Linked DNA regions of Stegostoma tigrinum. The protein of the gene in region 2 purifies or fractionates together with the protein of the main gene of each other region. This does not show direct contact. Links are inferred from orthologs where the notes say so. Each region holds a gene or a part of one and is shown on either strand. Other genes may lie near its edges.

What was found. The genes of interacting proteins can lie anywhere in the genome.
Region 1: the proteins of crebbpb (region 2) and smarca4a purify together in Homo sapiens (affinity purification with western blotting; 3 studies listed by BioGRID, with this or other methods). This does not show direct contact. The link is inferred for Stegostoma tigrinum from reciprocal best matches to the Homo sapiens genes CREBBP and SMARCA4.
Region 3: the proteins of crebbpb (region 2) and srebf2 purify together in Homo sapiens (affinity purification with western blotting; 3 studies listed by BioGRID and IntAct, with this or other methods). This does not show direct contact. The link is inferred for Stegostoma tigrinum from reciprocal best matches to the Homo sapiens genes CREBBP and SREBF2.

What each region holds. Positions count from the first base shown.
Region 1 is NC_081388.1:12,627,698-12,635,752, reverse strand, and holds the start of smarca4a (SWI/SNF related, matrix associated, actin dependent regulator of chromatin, subfamily a, member 4a), read right to left. Parts: upstream 3,066-8,055; 5' UTR 2,976-3,065; intron 1,418-2,975; exon of another isoform or gene 1,301-1,417; intron 1-1,300. UniProt on the Homo sapiens protein: ATPase involved in transcriptional activation and repression of select genes by chromatin remodeling (alteration of DNA-nucleosome topology).
Region 2 is NC_081376.1:32,962,522-32,969,597, forward strand, and holds the start of crebbpb (CREB binding protein b), read right to left. Parts: upstream 3,120-7,076; 5' UTR 2,373-3,119; coding exon 2,288-2,372; intron 44-2,287; coding exon 1-43. UniProt on the Homo sapiens protein: Acetylates histones, giving a specific tag for transcriptional activation. Mediates acetylation of histone H3 at 'Lys-18' and 'Lys-27' (H3K18ac and H3K27ac, respectively).
Region 3 is NC_081391.1:4,387,199-4,394,661, reverse strand, and holds the start of srebf2 (sterol regulatory element-binding protein 2), read right to left. Parts: upstream 3,066-7,463; 5' UTR 2,892-3,065; coding exon 2,807-2,891; intron 1-2,806.

The sequences.
Region 1 (8,055 bases), on a different chromosome or scaffold from region 2:
AAGAGTTGTTCAAATTTTCTTGATTTACAAACTCGAGTTCAACACATGTCAAATGTTGTCTGACGCCTTGGAAGTTTAAGATTTGATACAAATGCCTGTTGCTGGCTGAACATTTGGAATGAAATCACGGATTGTTTCTGAGGGAGGGTCACTGGACTTTTTTTTATTCATTTTTGGGATGTGGGCATTACTGGCCCAGCATTTCTTGCCCATCCCTTGTTGCCTTTGAGAAGCTGGTAGTGAGCTGCCTTCTTGAACCGCTGCAGTCCACCTGCTGTGGGTTAATCTACAATGCATAAGGAATTCCAAGATTTTGACCCAGTGACAGTGAAGGAACGTTGATGGTGAGTGGCTCGGAGGGAACTTTAAGATGCTGTCCTTCTCCTTCTAATTTGGAAGATGCTGTCTGAGGGACTTGAAACGTTAACTCCACCTTCTCTCCACAGATGGTGCCAGACCTACTGAGTTTCTCCAGCAATTTCTGTTTTTGTACTGTGCTCTAACAGAGTTTTCTCCACAGCTCACTCTTTGTCCTACTGGGCACATCACAAATTTCATCTTATGGGCTAGAGGGGCAAAGCCATTTAGGAAGTAGCGACTTCAATGAACTTCCCAGCAATCCATCAAAATATTAGTGCCTTGATGACACTAGTCAATAAGAATGCGAATGCACAATGCAGGCTTGAATTACAGTCCACACAGCTGCCAATCCCAAGAGCTACCATTGCTTAGGGATGGCTGAGAAATACTCAGTGCATCTTTACACAGTCACAAGCAGGGAGCGTCAGACCAAGTTGCATCTGAGCTCAGACTGGCAATTCCTGCTGAAGGAAATACTGTAGCTAGTTCTACAAAGGAACTTGGTGAGTTGGAAAAGAGTAATAACAATCTTAAGGAGAAAATATATCTACAATGTACTCTTACAAACAAATTAGAACAAAACAAAGTGTTTTCTCCCATCTCTCATTGAGTCATCCCTCCAATTAAACAGTCCAATTGACAAGATAAAAGTTCAGACCAAATGAAGTTGGCAGATCTGAATGTCAAGTGGCTCTGAAGCTTGCCCTGTATGACCTCTCCACTTTGAAGCAAGTGCTTACTCTACCACACAGAAGAGCTGCCCTAACTCAGCCTTCTGCTCAAAGAATGATATACTTCCATCTTTCATTTATTTTATGCAGAATTGATCATGTTTTGAAACACAACCTACACTTTTCTGTCAGAACAACTGACTGGCTGAGGTCAGCTAGCAGTGCTTTTTAAAAATGCTGCTTTCGTGATTTAAGCTTATGCCTCTTACCAGCTCAACAGGATAGCAACCCAAGGACACTGTATCGCTGCAGGGGCTGTCCTTCCTATGTAAAGTTCACCACATTTTTGAAAATCTGTATCTGGAGGGATTCAATTGTAGATAAATCTTCCACATGTGTAAGATGAGAAAGAGAAAGATCATTACTTCCATGTGAGATCAACAGGTAGATAGATGGTCACCATTCCAACTCATAATCACTATCACTTTGCACTTTGTTCAACCCCTATCACTGCTCTGTCCTCATTCACCAACTTTTAGAAACTATATAAATTTCCAAATTCTTGTTATGTTAATTGATGAAACATCTGCCTGACATGCTGAATTGCCCAGTCTTTCCATTTATTCATTCTTAGCTTGTGAAGAGAACAGATTGGCTCTGTTGCAAAGCCTATTACAATCAAATAGTTTGTCCATCTTGCCAGGGAAAGAGATGTCTGCAGTTTCTTGAACCCCACAAAATCTTTGAGAGGAAAATGAAATTTTAAATAAAAATAAACTCAAGTTTTTCATAGCCTCCACAGGAAAGCTGTATGAGCTGAACCGTGAACGGCTGCATCTGTCAATGTCATCCTTTGCACCCAACAGGAAGCAAAGTTAGCTTATAACAGAGCTGCTTTTAATTCTCCCTTTCTGTGAACCATAGTTGGTTAATAGAAGTATGTGGGAAGAGGGCTTAGTCTGGAGCAGAACTTTCCAGGCAGGAGGCAACACTGCATTGTTCAAAGCATTGTACTTTCGTCTTTAAGAACTTCAAACACTTGTCTACTTAGCTGGGTTCACGCTATCAGGGTCAGGGAAAAATAAGAAATAAAAAAAAACAGAAACTGACTATACAGCAACTCTAGTCTTTGAAATTAGTTATGAACATCCACATTGCATTTTAAATAATAAACTAGGTCATCACTGAAACCACATCATAAACAACACATCCCGATTTCCAGGCTCACATATGCAAAATACTTAAAAGAAATGGAAAATCTATAAACAACAATATTCAACAGGGTACAGCATCAATTCACAACAGATAGCTCTACAATCATAACAAAAACTTGTAAACGACTATATTTTTCGATTTATTGAGATAACAAAAGGGGAAGGGAAAACATTCAAACGGGGTCATATTCATACGGCATTATTGCAACTTAAAACATACCATGGATGTTTCCTAACACACTACAAGAGATATTTAAAAGTATCGCCTATGCAGCAAATATAAAGTTTTCTTTTGAACTAACAAATAACATGTCTTTGCAGAAACAGAGATTGATGCTTTGTTCCTTCAGCAGCTACCCACGCAGAAAGCGCTAACGTGAGAAACACACACATGTACAGAATAATACAGCTGATCGAACAGTGCAATAAAGCCAGGCAGTTCCCTCCGCTGTTCAGATCTGGCTAAACAATATATTTTGAATTAATCGCAATATAAACTAATTAATTTTAGTCCGAATGCGCCACCATCTCGAGCGGCGGGGCCTGCAGCTCAATCTCGTCTTTTAAACAATAAAAGCGGCGCCGGGGCAACCGAGCCGCGCCGCCCCTCATTCAACAGCAAACCGGTAGCGGACCTTGTTCATCCGCCGGTCCCTCCCCGCTGCCCAGCCCCGGTTACCCGCCCACAAGCCCCCGGTCCTGGAGAGATGAGAAGCCGAGAGGCTTTTACCTGGACTGGAGGCGCCGCTCGCGCTGTTTAATGGAACAAAGAGAAACGGCCGGTAAGACCGCGAGCGGGGCTGGCAGCCAGCGAGCATGCGCAGAGTCTCGACTGCGGGTTTGGGGGATGGGGGGAGAAAGGAGATAGAGAGACAGGGGTCATTGAGGGAGACGGAGGAGGGGGCACTGAGAGAGACAGGGGTCATTGAGGGAGACGGAGGAGGGGGCACTGGGAGAGACAGGGGTCATTGAGGGAGACGGAGGAGGGGGCACTGGGAGAGACAGGGGTCATTGAGGGAGACGGAGGAGGGGGCACTGGGAGAGACAGGGGTCATTGAGGGAGACGGAGGAGGGGGCACTGAGAGAGACAGGGGTCATTGAGGGAGACGGAGGAGGGGGCACTGGGAGAGACAGGGGTCATTGAGGGAGACGGAGGAGGGGGCACTGGGAGAGACAGGGGTCATTGAGGGAGACGGAGGAGGGGGCACTGGGAGAGACAGGGGTCATTGAGGGAGACGGAGGAGGGGGCACTGGGAGAGACTGGGGGGTCACCGGGGGAGACGGAGACGGAGGGGGGGTCACTGGGAGAGACAGGGGTCATTGAGGGAGACGGAGGAGGGGGCACTGAGAGAGACAGGGGTCATTGAGGGAGACGGAGGAGGGGGCACTGAGAGAGACAGGGGTCATTGAGGGAGACGGAGGAGGGGGCACTGAGAGAGACAGGGGTCATTGAGGGAGACGGAGGAGGGGGCACTGAGAGAGACAGGGGTCATTGAGGGAGACGGAGGAGGGGGCACTGAGAGAGACAGGGGTCATTGAGGGAGACGGAGGAGGGGGCACTGGGAGAGACAGGGGTCATTGAGGGAGACGGAGGAGGGGGCACTGGGAGAGACAGGGGTCATTGAGGGAGACGGAGGAGGGGGCACTGGGAGAGACTGGGGGGTCACCGGGGGAGACGGAGACGGAGACGGAGGGGGGGTCACTGGGAGTCACCCGGGGAGACGGAGAAGGGGGGTCACTGTGGGAGACTAGGGGTCACCGGGGGAGACGGAGGAGGAGGGGGGGTCATCGGAGGAGACGGGGGGGTCATCGGGGGAGACGGAGGAGGGGGGCGGTCATCGGGGGAGACGGAGGAGGGGGGCGGTCATCGGGGGAGACGGGGGGGTCAGTGGGGGAGACGGAGGAGGGGGGCGGTCATCGGGGGAGACGGAGGAGGGGGGCGGTCATCGGGGAGACGGGGGGGGTCAGTGGGGGAGACGGAGGAGGGGGGTCATCGGGGGAGACGGGGGTCATCGGGGGAGACGGAGTGGGGGGGGGTCATCGGGGGAGACGGAGTGGGGTGGGGGTCATCGGGGGAGACGGGGGTCATCGGGGGAGACGGAGCGGGGGGGGTCATCGGGGGAGACGGAGTGGGGGGGTTCATCGGGGGAGACGGAGTGGGGGGGGTCATCGGGGGAGACGGGGGTCATGGGGGAGACGGAGCGGGGGGGTCATCGGGGGAGACGGGGGTCATGGGGGAGACGGAGCGGGGGGGGGTCATCGGGGGAGACGGGGGTCATGGGGGAGACGGAGCGGGGGGGGGTCATCGGGGGAGACGGGGGTCATGGGGGAGACGGAGCGGGGGGGGTCATCGGGGGAGACGGGGGTCGCGGGGGGGGTCATCGGGGGGGGTCATCGGGGGAGACGGAGCGGGGGGGTCATCGGGGGAGACGGAGCGGGGGGGGTCATCGGGGGAGACGGGGGTCATGGGGGAGACGGAGCGGGGGGGTCATCGGGGGAGACGGAGCGGGGGGGGTCATTGGGGGAGACGGGGGTCATGGGGGAGACGGAGGAGGGGGGCGGTCATCGGGGGAGACGGAGGAGGGGGGCGGTCATCGGGGGAGACGGGGGGGTCAGTGGGGGAGATGGAGGAGGGGGGCGGTCATCGGGGGAGACGGAGGAGGGGGGCGGTCATCGGGGAGACGGGGGGGGTCAGTGGGGGAGACGGAGGAGGGGGGTCATCGGGGGAGACGGAGTGGGGGGGGTCATCGGGGGAGACGGAGTGGGGTGGGGGTCATCGGGGGAGACGGGGGTCATGGGGGAGACGGAGCGGGGGGGGTCATCGGGGGAGACGGAGTGGGGGGGGTCATCGGGGGAGACGGGGGTCATGGGGGAGACGGAGTGGGGGGGTCATCGGGGGAGACGGGGGTCATGGGGGAGACGGAGCGGGGGGGGTCATCGGGGGAGACGGAGCGGGGGGGGTCATTGGGGGAGACGGGGGTCATGGGGGAGACGGAGCGGGGGGGTCATCGGGGGAGACGGGGGTCATGGGGGAGACGGAGCGGGGGGGGTCATCGGGGGAGACGGAGCGGGGGGGGTCATCGGGGGAGACGGGGGTCATGGGGGAGACGGAGTGGGGGGGGTCATTGGGGGAGACGGGGGTCATGGGGGAGACGGAGTGGGGGTGGTCATTGGGGGAGACGGGGGTCATGGGGGAGACGGGGGTCATGGGGGAGACGGAGTGGGGGGGGTCATTGGGGGAGACGGGGGTCATGGGGGAGACGGAGTGGGGGGGGTCATTGGGGGAGACGGGGGTCATGGGGGAGACGGAGTGGGGGGGGGTCATTGGGGGAGACGGGGGTCATGGGGGAGACGGAGTGGGGGTGGTCATTGGGGGAGACGGGGGTCATGGGGGAGACGGAGTGGGGGGGTCATTGGGGGAGACGGGGGTCATGGGGGAGACGGAGTGGGGGGGGTCATTGGGGGAGACGGGGGTCATGGGGGAGACGGAGTGGGGGGGTCATTGGGGGAGACGGGGGTCATGGGGGAGACGGAGCGGGGGGGTCATCGGGGGAGACGGAGCGGGGGGGTCATCGGGGGAGACGGGGGACATGGGGGAGACGGAGCGGGGGGCTCATCGGGGGAGACAGAGCGGGGGTCATCGGGGGAGACGGGGGTCATTGGGGGAGACGGAGCGGGGGGGTCATCGGGGGAGACGGATCGGGGGGGGTCATTGGGGGAGACGGGGCGGGGGGGTCATTGGGGGAGACGGGGGTCATTGGGGGAGACGGAGGAGGGGGGCGGTCATTGGAGGAGACGTGGGGTCAGTGGGGGAGACGGAGGAGGGGGGCGGTCATTGGGGGAGGAGGGGGGCGGTCATTGGGGGAGACGGGGGGGTCATTGGGGGAGACGGGGGGGTCATTGGGGGAGACGGAGCGGGGGGGTCATTGGGGGAGACGGGGGGTCATTGGGGGAGACGGAGGGGGGGGTCATTGGGGGACAGTGAGCAGGGGGCTCATTGGGGGAGACGAGGGTCATTTTAAGAGACGGAGCAGGGTGGGTCATTTTAGGAGACGGAGCGTGGGGGTCATTGGGGGAGACGGAGGTGGGGGTGTCATTGGGGGAGAAGGGGGTCATTGGGGGAGAAGGGGGTCATTGGGGGAGAAGGGGGTCATTGGGGGAGACGGGGGTCATTGGGGGAGACGGAGCCGGGGGGGGTCATCGGGGGAGACGGAGCGGGGGGGGTCATCGGGGGAGACGGAGCGGGGGGGTCATCGGGGGAGACGGAGCGGGGGGGTCATCGGGGGAGACGTGGGTCATTGGGGGAGACGGAGCGGGGGGGTCATTGGGGGAGACGTGGGTCATTGGGGGAGACGGGGCGGGGGGGTCATTGGGGGAGACGGGGCGGGGGGGTCATTGGGGGAGACGGGGTCATTGGGGGAGACGGGGGTCATTGGGGGAGACGGAGGAGGGGGGCGGTCATTGGAGGAGACGTGGGGTCAGTGGGGGAGACGGAGGAGGGGGGCGGTCAGTGGGGGAGACGGGGGGGTCATTGGGGGAGACGGGGGGGTCATTGGGGGAGACGGAGCGGGGGGGTCATTGGGGGAGACGGAGGGGGGGTCATTGGGAGACAGTGAGCAGGGGGCTCATGGGGGAGACGAGGGTCATTTTAAGAGACGGAGCAGGGTGGGTCATTTTAGGAGACGGAGCGTGGGGGTCATTGGGGGAGACGGGGGTCATTGGGGGAGACGGAGCCGGGGGTCATCGGGGGCGACGGGGGTCATTGGGGAGACGGAGCGGGGGGGTCATCGGCGGAGACGGTGGTCATTGGGGGAGACGGAGGAGGTGGGTCATTGGGGGCGGAGGGGTGTCATTGGTGGAGACGGAGCGGGGTGAGGTCATTGGGGGAGACGGAGCGGGGGGGTCAATGGGGGAGACGGAGCAAGAAGGGTCATCGGGGGAGACGGAGGAGGGGGGCGGTCATCGGGGAGACGGGGGGGGTCAGTGGGGGAGACGGAGGAGGGGGGTCATCGGGGGAGACGGGGGTCATTGGGGGAGACGGAGTGGGGGGGTCATCGGGGGAGACGGAGTGGGGGGGGTCATCGGGGGAGACGGGGGTCATGGGGGAGACGGAGTGGGGGGGGTCATCGGGGGAGACGGGGGTCATCGGGGGAGACGGAGCGGGGGGGTCATCGGGGGAGACGGAGCGGGGGGGTCATCGGGGGAGACGGGGGTCATGGGGGAGACGGAGCGGGGGGGTCATTGGGGGAGACGGGGGTCATTGGGGGAGACGGGGGTCATTGGGGGAGACGGAGCGGGGGGATCATCGGGGGAGACGTGGGTCATTGGGGGAGACGGATCGGGGGGTCATCGGGGGAGACGGAGCGGGGGGGTCATTGGGGGAGACGGGGGTCATTGGGGGAGACGGAGGAGGGGGGCGGTCATTGGAGGAGACGTGGGGTCAGTGGGGGAGACGGAGGAGGGGGGCGGTCAGTGGGGGAGACGGGGGGGGTCATTGGGGGAGACGGGGGGGTCATTGGGGGAGACGGAGCGGGGGGGTCATTGGGGGAGACGGGGGTCATTGGGGGAGACGGAGGGGGGGGTCATTGGGGGACAGTGAGCAGGGGGCTCATTGGGGGAGACGAGGGTCATTTTAAGAGACGGAGCAGGGTGGGTCATTTTAGGAGACGGAGCGTGGGGGTCATTGGGGGAGACGGAGGTGGGGGTGTCATTGGGGGAGAAGGGGGTCATTGGGGGAGACAGGGGTCATTGGGGGAGACGGAGCCGGGGGTCATCGGGGGCGACGGGGGTCATTGGGGAGACGGAGCGGG
Region 2 (7,076 bases):
TCATCAGGCAAGTCATTTTCTAAATCAAATGGGGATCCAAAATCTGTAAAACAGAAGTTATTCGCTTTTAGCATTTGATTAGTAAAAGTGCACTATTCACATATTATAAGCATTTTGTATTAAAGATAAAATCTACCCAAAGATGAACACAACACGGAGGCATAATTTAATACAATACATAAATATGTATTCTTAAAATCCTATTTAATGAGCAATACCTTGCTAAGTTTTTAACAGTTAACCAACTCTAACAACTTAATCTTTATTAACAAACTTCCAAATATATCAAGATTTGTGTGGCAATTAGCTACGTCTATTAGTTTCTAATTTTAAAAGGAGTTCGGAAAATAGCCACTTTTAATAAAAAAAATTGATTGTTTCTCATACAATTGCAGAAGTTTGAGATCATTTATGCCAACAATTGCATTTTAAATATTGGCATCATAGTAAATACTGATTAACAAGCCAAAACCTTTTGTAGGGAATATACTAAATTTGACCAGTGCCTGATGCTATTTTAAGAAGAATAATCTGTTTAGCAAATCACCAGTGCAACTTATTAAACCCTCATACATATACAAGTATCCTTATTTGTTATAATGGTAAGCATTTCTGAAGTGTGTAATGTGTTTCAAACATGTTTCCAATAAAAACATTTACAATGACTTGTAACAGTCTTAGAAGCCAAAACACAGGCCTGCACATTGTGAAAAGAGACTTTATACAACAGCAGTGGGGGTAGTTCCAAAGGTAAAAAGGTCAGGAAATAATATGATTACTTAAATCTTGGTCTCACAAACCTTAGTGATGATACTCTACAACTTGCACAACTGTCTGTGAACATACAAATGACCTATGTTTCTTCAATGTGATGCTGCATAATTTAAAACATCATATGCTGCAGTTCAAGCTTCAAGGACAGAATGCGCCAAAGTATCCACCACCCAGTGATTGTACATGTGCACAGGTGTAGCATCCGACAACAATTAATTGCCAAAAGATGAAAGTAGAGCTTAAAATATTCATTTGTTCACATATTTTAATGGCCCAATGGGGTAAATAGTCTACCAAAGTAAACACTTCATTTTATTTTTATTTGTTCACTGCAAACATCAAACACCACTACTGCAGAATTAATAGTATAATATACTAGTTTAAAAATCTCACCCATAAACTCAACTGTCGATAATTATTATTGCCTTCCAATATAGTCTAGTGTCAGTTGGGATACTCATTAAATTATCGCAAAACGAAAAATACGTAAATTGCACAGGCAACTGCATTTTAGTTGCATCTCTCCCGTTAAATGTTGGCATACCTGACGGTAAGCTGCAAATATTATTAAGATTTTGACAATAACATTGATCACTTGGCTCACCAGGATCCACGGGACAGTAACAGGGAGGTGTTATAAATCCCTGGGCTTCCGCCAACTATAGTGGCCTTAACGCAATTCACCGCTACAAGTTTCTATTTACAAAATAATGCCCAAAATACGGACGTCTGCTACTTGCGACACATGCACGGTTTACACACAGTATCAGATGCATATTTTCCAACAAATGCTGCAATCTTACATGTTATACATTTTTACGTGAAGTTAACAAATTACGATTTCACCTGTCACAAGTCAGTTGAAAGACTAAAAAATATTTAATCAGCAGACGTTTGATAAATATTATTCTACTTTATTACGTATTCCATTAGTTTAAACGAAATGCTTTCTACCAGCGAAATTCACCACTAGTCTAATTTCTCAAATGTTATAACACTTTAAACAAATGTGCGAGACAAACTTTATTTCATCACACCGAAACCAAGGTCTAATTTTATTGGTATTTGCTCACGCGAAAATTATGGTGCAAATCTATCAACGATCGAACATAAAAAGTGCGAAATGAGTTTCGTAACCAATGCTGAAGATTTACACCAATCAATATCCTCTCAAATATAATTCCTTCTTACTTGTCTCTAAATATACAATATCTCAGAACATCTAATGATCTTCAACACCTTACTGAGCCATTCTGGCTCAAACCTTCCCAAATAAACGATCGTAAACACTGCTAGTTTTACTTTTGCGGGATCGGGAGCTGGAGTGAAGGAAGGAACAAAACCTATCAATAACCTTCCCCACCAAAAGAAACACGGTTTTAAGTTTCTGCCAAAATCCTCAATTTCAAAACATACGCACTCCATTCCTATTTACCATCCACAAAGAGGAGTGTTGGGCAGCTATGCAACTACTTATACTCCGCGGTTGTCCGAGGCGATGTCCCTTCCTTACCTGTACTGTCACTGGCAGAGAGCGCCGGCGAGTTGAGTTTGGGCCGTTTGGCTGACGGCGGTCCATCCAGTAGGTTCTCGGCCATTTTATTATATATATATTTTATACGTGTGTATGCGTATAAATCGTTCCCCCCTCCCTTTTCAAGCTAGTTTCATCTAATGAACATGAAAGGTGAGGGGGGTGAGGGGGCGGGATAAAGACGGACACAGCAGCGACTCTGGCAGGCCCTGGGGCCTTTGACTAGCACCGAGAGCCCGCTCCTCCTCAGCCACAGCGCCATTCCCCTAACGCGACACCCTGTTCCGCCATTCCACTCCCCCCCTCACACAGGGAACAAAAAAGCTGTCCAACCCCTATCTTCACTTTAATATGCAGTTGGAAAAAACATAAAATCGAGCCGATCAGTCAGGCCGCATTTTCGGTATAGCGCCAGGGCCAGGACCGGGACCAGGCCGGGGACTGACGCCAGACCGCTGCCGGCTGAGCCGATGAAAACAATACTTCACCCAAAGACTTGGTACGGCGGAGCGAAGGGGATACGGATTTTTAAACACCACCTCCCCCCTCCCCTTCAGCCGGTCCCCTTTCTCTTATCGCTTTTCCACCGTTTGAAGGCGCCCGGACTCGCAATAATTTGACGGCTATGTGGATTTCGCAACCGAATATGGGTTTTGAGGAATACTCAAGACAGCGAGCACAGCTCCCGACGCCGTTCAATTCCTCCGAAATTTCGGATGAAATTTTCCACCAAAATGGCGGCTGTTGATCTTAAAGTTTTTTTTCCTCCTGACGTTCCGTCCACCGATGGAGGGGGAAGGGGAGGGGAGGAAGGATGAGGGAGGCGGAGCCAAGTATACGAAAACTGCCGAAAGCACCTTAGTAGCTGGTCGGAAATACCCGAACCCTGCTTCGGGTGGAGGATGATGACTCCGCGTGATCCGTCCGCCGCCTGCGGATTGGCCGTCTCCGTAAGAAATGAGGGAGCAAGCGGCCGAACGTACATTACGTCATCAGAGCTCCTGATGCATTGTGGGGTTACTATCAAATGGACATGCGCACGGAGCTTACAGCTGTGAATGAGTTGTAATATTTACGTGTTAATAACTATATTATTAAACGTGTAATACAATTTCACGACATTTACGGAACCAAATTACATTAACACGTTTAACGCCATTCGAAATACTAATATCGCTTCCTGTTGGCAATTGTAAAATGTGATAGCCTTAGGACTTCTCAAAATATCTATTTACAAAAATAGTTTCCTAAATTAAGTGGGCAGGAAGTACAAATAATCAAAGTCGCGCCTCAATTTTCAAATGATACCCTTTCGGTAGCACAAGCTGAGATTGTATAAAGGGCTTAGACATCTTATGACTGCTGTGGATTGAAACGTACATTCATCTCCAAACGAAGCAACGAGTCGGTCTCCCTCGAGTGTTGGATGGTCTGGAGTCGAAGATGAAACATTGTATTTTTTTTCTTAGACATTGACTATTATTTGACGGAATAGTTATTTTAAAACTTTGATTTTTATGGAATCTTCAACATTGAAGAATGTTTCAATGCCCTTCACAGAAGCATTATCAAACAACATAACACTTACCCAAGACAAATATTAGATGACCAAAAGCGAGGTCAAATAAGCAAATTTTAAGTATCTTAAAGGAGGTAAGAGGTGGCAACATAAGTGTAGCAAATAAATTTTACGTTAAGTTCTTTAGCAGCTTAGGGCAACTGCCACAACAATAAAAACATTAAAGTCGTAATGCGTTAGTAGCTATAACTGAAGGGGCCTCTCTTGGATTTAGACCTTCACGAGGATCCCGTATTTCTCACAAACTAACTGAAAACAAAAATGCTGGAGATCACATCGGGTCAGGCAGCATCCTCGCAGAAAAAGCAGACTAACGTTTCCAAACTGATAACTCTGATGCAAAAAGGATCAGTTTTAAAGTTCCAAGAAAGATGGTACACAGGCAACAGACACAATTCAGAGATAATAAAATGTGAGGCTGGATGAACACAGCAGGCCAAGCAGCATCTCAGGAGCACAAAAGCTGACGTTTCGGGCCTAGACCCTTCATCAGAGAGTCCTAACCCTAACCCTAACCCTTCCCCTACTGCATCCCTAAAAAATAAAATATGGTATCAATGTGGACTTCACCAGTTTCAAAATCTCCCCTTCCCCTACTGCATCCCTAAAAAATAACATTATCTCAGACACAATTCAGATTTTGTCTCAGATGCTTGTCAAATGTTGCAATTCTATCTTTAATCTTTCCCCTCTCATCCTAAACCTGTGACCTCTAGTTCTGGACACCCCCAGGGAAAAGACCTTGGCTTTCACCTTATCCAAGTCCCTCATGATTTTATAAACCTGTAAGTTCATCCCTTGACTCTGACGATCCAAGGAAAATACACCAAACCTATTCAGCTCCCCCTCTTCACCACCCGCGCCCCCCTCCCCCCGCCCCATTCTGGCAATATCTTTTCTGAATCCTTTCAAGTTTAACAATCTCTTTCCTACAGCAGGAAGACCAGATTTGAATCCAATACTCAAGGCAAGTACACCATTTGCTTTTTCACTACCCTGTCCACTTGTGCCTCTATTTTCAAAGAGATGTGAACCTGCACCCCAAGACCTCTTTATTCAGCAACACTCCCAGGACCTAAGTCCTGCCTTGATTTGCCTTACTTAATCTGTAGTATTTTGCTTTATTGAATTCAGATTGAGTGTTATTGGCTAAGGAGGCGAGCACAAACACATCACATGAGGCTGTTGCAGTTTTAGTTGTAGCATGCATCATTGACTTGTGTTGCCTATAGTCATTGTAGGTTTGCAAGCCAACCCATTGGAGGTGTTGCAAATTTACTCTAGTGTAAGCTAGTGATTCCCACATTTGATAACGTATGGCCTTCTTGGCTTCTTTGCAAGCCTCCTTAGGATAGAGATTTGAGCATCCTGCCAGGCATTTCATTCAGATTATCACAGCAAATGAAAAATATTTGGGTGCATAGCCATCTTCCACCTTATGGTAATATTCAAAGCAAATGAAGGCACCACCATTTGACCTGTGCTAATAAATTACTTTTGGACCTTGTTCATTAGCCTAACCTGACCCACATCCAAGATAGGCCCTATGTCCAACTTCTCAGAGATCAGTATGTCTGATCCTAATGTATAGTCTGAACATTTTATGTGCCAGATACCTCAGCAGTGAGCGAACCTAAAATTCCCATCAGAGGAGGCACTAGACACCTTTCCTCTGGTGTGACTGATATTATAGATAGGCAGAGAATCAACCCAAAGACAAACTGTGGGAGCAGTTAAAATAATAGGGTCACTTACACCCTTGAATCTCTCACCCTTCTCCTATGCCAAGGTATTAAAGTACTCAAGCAGGGTAAATAGTAAATAGAGCCCTATTTTAAATATGCAGTACTTAACCTCAATTTATTTTAGGTTTTCTATGGTCTTAACTGGATTTCTAGGTCTCAAAAGAAGTCTAAATGCTGCAGCATTTTTACATCAGGTTGAAGGTTACAGGTTCAAATCTCACTCCAGATAACCTAAGTTGACATAAGAATAGTACTGAGGGAATGCTGCATGATCAGACCCTTTCTGACAGCTCAAATGAAAAGAAAACAGAATGCCATTACTTCAAAAAACAGCAAGGCATTTTCACTTATTTAAAAGTTTATTTAAATAAAGATAGTTAATTAAGAACAAGGCCTTACTGGGTTCTTTGCCAGAAATGGACTTGCCTGCAACCCTGTGAAACAAAAAAAATTCAATGTGGATAAGCCATAATCATACCATCAGCTAGAGCAAGAGAGTCCCGATCTAATGCCTTCTGTGCAAGGAGAAATTTTCCATTCTATTTTACTCAATTCTTTCTCCAGCAAGTCACTTGGTAATAGAAGAAGCTGGTCAGAAAATTGTCCTTTCGCAATCAACCTACATAGAGACTGGTTTGTCTTTTACAACAAATGTCACCATCTCAACTTATAAAGTAAAATGCACACTTACAGAAGTTTTAACTCTCTGCAAACCTTGGCAACATTAACTGGTTGTAGGGTTTGGGAAAGAAACAAGATTTAATCCACAGTTATAGTTGAAACTTGCAAATATTTAAAGCTGTTGAGAGAGTTTGCTCTCAATTGAAGAATTTAGCCATCTGTAAAACAGAAGAGGATAGAAATAATCCAGCCATCTGCTAGGAATTCCAGAAATATAGTCAATTGTTCAGGCCATAAACCTTTTCTCAGAAGAAAATAGAGAAATGGCCAATGTGGCCAAAGAGCAATTTTTATTCAAAGGTGCGGTGGTGGTGGGGGGGGTATGTCTGTGAGAATGACTACTTTCCCCATATTCTGTCCTATTTAAATGTCCATCTGTACCATCCACTGTGTTAAAAAAGGGACCACATTAGTTTAACCCTTTTATCTCCTAAGATTAACCACAATTTTAATGGTCTGCAGCTTATCAACAAATTGAAAATTATGAAATTGAAAATGAGAAATATATACCCGAGTGCAAACTAACACAAATAAATTATTCAAAATCCACAAGAAATAATCTATTTAAGTTAAAAAAAAACTAAAAAGTCATGGGTGTATAGTTTTTCCTTCACCAGATTTCCTGTTTATACATAACTACCAAAAAGAATGAGCAGTGTTTTCCATGGTTCTTTGATTTACAGCATCTTCAGTTGTTTTTGAAGTGCTCTCTTGGACAAGAGGGGTGTCTAGTTGTAAAATTCAAACATCACCCAGAAAATGT
Region 3 (7,463 bases), on a different chromosome or scaffold from region 2:
GTCTCTCATCTTCAATCTGTGGAAAAGGCCACCTGAGTATTTTTGTAATCAAGTCCGCTGCAGTGGGACTTGAGCCCATAAATTTGTGATAAGAGGCAACAGTGCAACCAACTGAGCTACAGCTGACTACATGGCTTGCATCAGCAAATGCTCAAAGGCGAGAACAAATTGTAATACTATGACTATAACAGATGCTAATCTGTGGCCATCAAATTTTACAGTAAACCAAGTGATATATCCTTATTAATGCTGATGATGGAGTTTGGTTTGTTTTCAAGGTGACAGACCAGATTCCATCACAGAAAAGTTACCATCCTAGTCTGTGTCAGTTTACATGCTTTTCCGGAGCCTCCTCCCATGCTACTCCACCTCATTCTTGAATAGATTCCCTACAGTATGGAAACAGGCCCTTTGGCCCAACAAGTCCACATTGCCCTTTGAACCTTCCACCTAGACCCATCCCCATCCCCCAAAAATCCACATACCCCTGAACACTACAGACAATTTAGCATGGCCGATCCACCTAATCTGCACATCTTTGGGCTGTGGGAGGAAACCGGAGCACCCAGAGGAAACCCACGCAGACACAGGGAGAATGTGCAAACTCCACACGCAGTCACCCGAGGCTGGAATCGAACCCAAGTCCCTGGCACTGTGAAGCTGCAGTGCTAATCACTGAGCCACCGTGCTGCCAATTCCCATCAATATTTTCTCCAAAGATGATCAGAGACTTTAATTCACAAAAAAAACTTACATACTTAATATCTTTCATGCCCTCAAGGCATCCTTCAAATGGGCAAAGGTTATAAAATGAAAAGGGTTTTAGTCTATCAATAAGTTGGTTTGTCCTGTATTTTATAGGTTAGTTGACATGAAGAAATATATGAACTTAGCAATGTAATAAAAATAAAATTGAGAGTGGATCTCTTTTTTAAAAAAGTCAAAAGGTTAATTATTTATTTTGTATTTGATGAACAGAATTCCAATTGTATAAGAAAAAATTTCTTTCAATTAAGTACTTGGACTATCAAAGCCAAAATCATTAGATTCTGCCATAAATGCCAGTACCTACTCATTCTTCAAAATCCATTATTTCAGCCAGCATCTGGCAAAATGTTCTCTTTTGGTATCAAACTGATAGATCATTCCTGAGTAAAGCAACCAAATAGCAATGAACGGCATTTATATAGTAGCTTTGATTTAGCTTAATATTCCATTGAGCACTTTCAGACAAAATATTGACACCAAGTCAAAGAAGCAGGATTTAAGACAAAAACCAGATCAAAAAGGCAGGTTTTAAGCAGGCCCTCGGTAAAGACAAATGCAGTGATCAGCTTCAGATGAAAACTGCAGAACATAGGATAAATTATTGAAACCATGGCTACCAATAATGGGGTGAAGGAAATAGGGATAAACAAGCAACAATAATTGAAGACCTTGAAAGGAAATGAGGTATTTGTAATCCAGAATTGCCAAAGCAGGAACTGATGTACTGCAGCAAGAGCAAGATGACAAATGAACAGCATTTGGTGCAGGTTAAGTCATGGGCAGTAGAACTCGGATGTGTTTAAGTACATCGAGTGTGGAAGATGGAAAGCTGGCCAATTGATCACTAGCATAGGCAAATCTAAAACTAACAAAAGTACAGATGAGGTTTTCAGTAACTGAGCACAGGCCATGGCAGAAATAGACAATGTTGAGAAGGAGGAAGCATATAGTGTTGGCGACTCTCAGGAGAAAGTCTGAGAGAAGATGTAGTCTGAAGTTAAATTCAGGGCCAAACCGGACACCCCAATTGTGGGCAATTTGGTTCAGCTTCAGACAGTTGTCAGGCAGAGATAAAAAAAAAGATCAGTTAATGGAGTTTAAAGCAGGATCTAATGATGATTGCTTCAATGTCCAGAACAGTTAACAAGAAGTAATTTTTGCTCATTTAATACCAGATGCCCAGCACAGCAGGGGATATTTTATGTTAAAGATATAAATGCACACTGTTGTGAATAAGAATCAGAGAGGCTCTGTTATCACAATATTTTACAAGTTACCACATTATCATGATTCTGATATCACAGATTTTACACACAGATCACATTCTCCATTCTACATTTTACAATTTACTGTCAGTGCAATAACCAAAAGTTAGTAAACAAATATCAGATGAGTAGTGATGGTAACTAACAGTAAACAAAGGAAACAATTACGCAAATAATAAGTAAAAATCAAAAGAACGGCTGTAAATCAGGAACAAAAACAAAGTTGCTGGAAAAGCTCAGCAGGTCCGGCAGCATCTGTGGAGGAGAAAACAGAGTTAACGCTTCGGATCTAGTTCTGAGGAAGGGTCACCGGACCCGAAACGTTAACTCTGTCTTCTCCTCCACAGATGCTGCCGGGCCTGCTGAGCTTTTCCAGCAACTTTGTACAATAGGAATGTTAGAAAATAGGCTGGATGGAATTATGTGTAGAATCTTATTATTTGTGTTAACAAAAACAAAGTTGCTGGAAAAGCTCAGCAGGCCCGGCAGCATCTGTGGAGGAGAAAACAGAGTGAACGCTTCGGATCTAGTTCTGAGGAAGAGTCACCAGACCCAAAACGTTAACTCTGTCTTCTCCTCCACAGATGCTGCCGGGCCTGCTGAGCTTTTCCAGCAACTTTGTTTTTGTTAACACAAATAATAAGATTCTACACATAATTCCATCCAGCCTATTTCCTAACATTCCTATTGTACATTCAGAATGATCATTTGTATACGTTGGTTTTAAACAGACTAACATACATTTTGGGAGGAAACATAAAGCATTAACTCACCATCAATATCCCCAAAATTCAGCCCCTCACTGAGCTCACTCAGTGAGGGGTCCATATTCTCAAACGATATATCCTCACCCTCCATTGTTTTAAGGGTCGAATGCTAGGGATTCCGATATTAAGAGGGTTACGTTTTCCTGTATCTCAGTTTAGGTTCCTGTTACTTTAACCCAACATTATCATTTCTCTTCGCAATTCCACTGCCGCCGCCGCCATCTTGGCCAGCCCCCTTTCCTCATGCCCCGCCCCCGTGACCCGGTGGCCTCACCCCATCCGGTGCGCGTGTTGATCGAGCGGTGGCGCGAGCGGCGTCCGTTGGTGTTGGCCGCAAACACGAGATGTGGGTCGGCCAATCGCTGGGCCAGCCGGCCTGATGGGGTGATGCGACGTCAACATGGGTACAGTCCGTCGCCTTGGTTACCGGCGGCGGCTTGCTTTCCAAATTTCGCCGTAGGTGTTTCTGCCCAATGCTGCGTCAGGTGAGGGTGGGAATGTTTTTTCCGTCTTTTTCGTCCAATACCTGCCAGCGTAAAGAGATTATGGCTGTGGAATGAAATTAAAATTGCACGAATCAAGGCTGGGAAAATGTGGAATTGCTGAAAAACCTCAGTAAACCACGCAGCATAACGGAGAGAAAGTAATTCCAGTCTTCAGAACGGAACTGGTCGCTAAGCCCGAGCCATTGACTCTGCTTTCTCTTCTCAAATGTTGCCAGGCCTGCTGATTTTACAGCAATTTCTGATTGCCAGCATCCGCAGTTCTTTGTTTTGAGTTGTTTTCCTCAGGGGGAAGGAGGCATTTGATTAAGGCGTACAAACCTCTAAGGAATAACTTCTCCTTAGAAGAACGGTTTGAAAATAGGGTGAGTGATAATGGGAACTGCAGATGCTGGTGAATCCAAGATAATAAAATGTGGGGCTGGATGAACACAGCAGGCCAAGCAGCAGCTCAGGAGCACAAAAGCTGACGTTTCGGGCCTAGACCCTTCATCAGAGAGGGGGATGGGGTGAGGGTTCTGGAATAAATAGGGAGAGAGGGGGAGGTGGACCGAAGATGGAGAGAAAAGAAGATAGGTGGAGAGGAGAGTATAGGTGAGGAGGTAGGGAGGGGATAGGTCAGACCAGGGAAGACGGACAGGTCAAGGAGGTGAGATGAGGTTAGTAGGTAGATGGGGGTGCGGCTTGGGGTGGGAGGAAGGGATGGGTGAGAGGAAGAACAGGTTAGGGAGGCAGAGACAGGTGGGACTGGTTTTGGGATGCAGTGGGTGGAGGGGAAGAGCTGGGCTGGTTTTGTGGTGCAGTGGGGGGAGGGGACGAACTGGGCTGGCTTTGGGTATGGTTTTAAGGTTAGCAATAGGAGGTATCAAGGGGATTTAAGGAAAAAGGTTTTTGCCCTCAGGGTTGTGTATATCTAACTCTGTGCCTGACAAGATAGTAGCAGTGGGAACTCTTCACTCATTTAAGTATCATTTATATGAGCATTTAAAATGCAACAGCAAACAAGGCTATGGGTCAACTGCTGGAAAATGGGATGAGAATAGATAGATGGTTGGTTTGGACCAAGAGGCCGAAAGACTTCTTTTCATAATGTAAAATCTTGACTCTAACATTATCTTAAATCATCATTCCCCTCAATTATAGATTATGTTTTTTTCTGGTGGGTTTAAACTACCTTGTCAAACACCTTCCAGAAGTCTGAACGCAACAGTTATTTCTCCTGTAATGCTTGTGTGATCTCATGTGAAAGAATTGAATTGAATCATTTATTCTCACATGTATTCAACGTAAAAACAGTGAAAAGTGTTCACCTTCGCCATACATACATGGTGCCAATCACATTAACTTAGAATAAGTCAAGGAAAAAGAACTCGAAAGTCCAACATGAGTTTGCGCTATAGAAAATCGCTTTGGAAAGTCATGTTATAGGGAAATCGTTATACAAAATCGCTAAACTATACAGTAGAAAGTTTGAGTTATCCAAACAGTGTCCACCGTTCATCAATCACGTGACAGCCAATTCACATCAGCGAAACAAGCGTTATGGCAGAACTACCTGTACCTCTACTGGTTTCCCTCTATACACTTTGGTTGAGACACTCGGAAAACTAGAAAATTAGTCAGGCGCGATTTCCCTTTCGTGAAGCCATGTTGACTCTGCTTGATGAGATTATGATTTTTCAAACATGCTGGTATAACTTCCTGAATAATCAATTCCAACCTTTTTCCAACAATATACATTAGGCTAATTGGCCTATAGTTACCCGCCTTTTGTTTCCCTTACTTTTCGAATAGAGATGTCACAGCAGTTTACTAATCCTCCAGTTCTCCCCCAGAATCCAAAGATTTTTGAAAAATTACAACCAATGTGTCCAATATCATAGCAGTAACCACTTTCAAGATCCTAGGGTGCAAGCTATAAGAGCCAGAGGACTTAACTACCTTAAGCTCCATAATATTATTTCTCTAATGATGGTGTTTAATTCCTCCCCCATATCCTTTAGTATTAATAGCACTTTGGAATATCTTCCACTGTAAACACTGATGCAAAGTATCTGTTGGACTCCTCTGCCATTACCTTGTTCCCTATAACTATCTTGCCAGATTCATTTTCTAAGGGTGACATGTTCACTTTGAACTCTCTCATCTAATGTATTTAAAGAAGCTCTGTTTGTCAGTTCTTGTATTTCTTACTAGTTTGCCCTCATTGTTTATTTCCTGTTTCTACTATTTTTTAGTCCTCTTGGTGATTCTGAATTTGTCCCAGTCTTCGGGGCAATCACTGACTTTTATCTTCAAAATGCTATTTCTTTCATCTTTGTGCTCTCTTTAATTTCCTTGGTTAACCATGGTTAGTTTATCCCCCCTTAGAATTTTTTTTCCTTACTGGGATATAATTTTGCTGCAAGTCATGAAATGCCTCCTTAAATGTCTGTTGCTATTTGCTTTGTGAGACTCGCTAGCACCAGGTGTCTTTGGGTTCAAAAAGCACTGTCCGCCAAGTACTTTGGATTTGTTTGAAGTTGCGGTGTGTCACAGAACTGAGAAAGGCGCAGTGGCATTAAAACTTCCAAGAAGGGATGTGCAATACAGATCTTTTGCTGTCTGCTCTGAGTGGATAAATAAAGCACTAAAGATGCTGAAAATAGAGCTTCTAACTCAAGTAACAACTTAAATCCAACTGACTAGCTACTGAACTGGAGATCACCACAGTCAACAACAATGCAATACCATTGCCAAAAACCAAAAGAACTATGAGAAAGTTATCTTATTGCGTTTTTGTCATTTGGAGTCTTGATCCACAGAATTTGTTCCTTTTCCCTTATGTTCCCTACCCATGATATGTCTCCTCCTACTTGTGAAAGAATATTGAGTGTTTAGGTTTAAAGGGGGTATAGTTTAAGTTTGTACAGTAGTGATTAATTGCCACTTGTTAAAGGATAAACTTGTTAAAATAAATAAGTTTAAGTCTTTTTGTTTATTAAATGAACCTGGTGCTTTTTAAAAATCTTAGCGGTCTAAGTCAAGCAAATTAATGATCTTGCTTTTAAATCAGTCATTTATGCATTTGTGACAATTCATACTAAACTTTTTAGACACTTCTTCAATACCAACCAGGGAATGCAAGTGCACATCTTCCTCAAGTTCAAAAAGCAACCATCACCACTACAGTATTAATCTTTCCTGTCATTCAAGCTAGCTTTGTGTCCATGCTGTTACTTTTTTTTTATTCCATAGGCTTCAACTTTGATTACAGGCCTGTTACCTGGAACTTTATCAAGTCCATTTACATCACATCAACTTACAACATTTTGTGATGTTGTGATCCAGAAATTGAATCTGGATGGGTACATGAATAGAAACGGTTTGGAGGGATATGTGCCAAATGCTGGCAACTGGAACTGGGTCAGATTGGGTGTCTGGTTGGCACGGACAAATTGGACTAAAGGGTCCGTATCTGTTCTTATGACTCCATGAACTGTAAATCTCTGTTTCCCCATTATTGAGAAGATTGTTACAAGTCGGAACAAAATCTGGCTTGTACCTTCTTTTATTTGAAATTACTGTAAGATGAATGCCTGCAGGGAGTGTCTCATGGTAGAGGTCACACAACCACAACAAGCTAGGAGACACTTTTTTTTGTATTCATTCGCGGGATGTGGGTGTTGCTAGCTGGTCAACGTTTATTGCCCATCCCAAGTGAGTCCAATATGGCGGCAAAGTAGGAATAGTTGGAATACCTCTGCTGGCCAGGTCTTTTACCCCTTTCCCCGTCCCCCTGTGTGGAGTTCTGGAAGACTGGAGCAAGTGGGCCAAGACCCACGGCAAACCGGAGCAAGCATGACCAAGACTCAGGGAGGACCAGAGCAAGTGGTCAAGTCCTGTGGCAGTCCGGAATAAGTGGGCCGAGACCTGTGGAGAACCGTACATTGCCGAGGCCAGGTGCCAGCTCTTCGACACCTCCTCCTGCCGCCCCCTTGATCATGACCCCACCCCGACAACCAAACCATCATCTCCCAAACCATGCACAACCTCATCACCTCAGGTGACCTCCATCCCACAGCCTCCAACCTCATCGTTCCCCAATGCCACACCGCCCACTTCTATCTCCTTCCCAAAATCCACAAACCTGACTGCCCTGGCCGACCCATTGTCTCTGT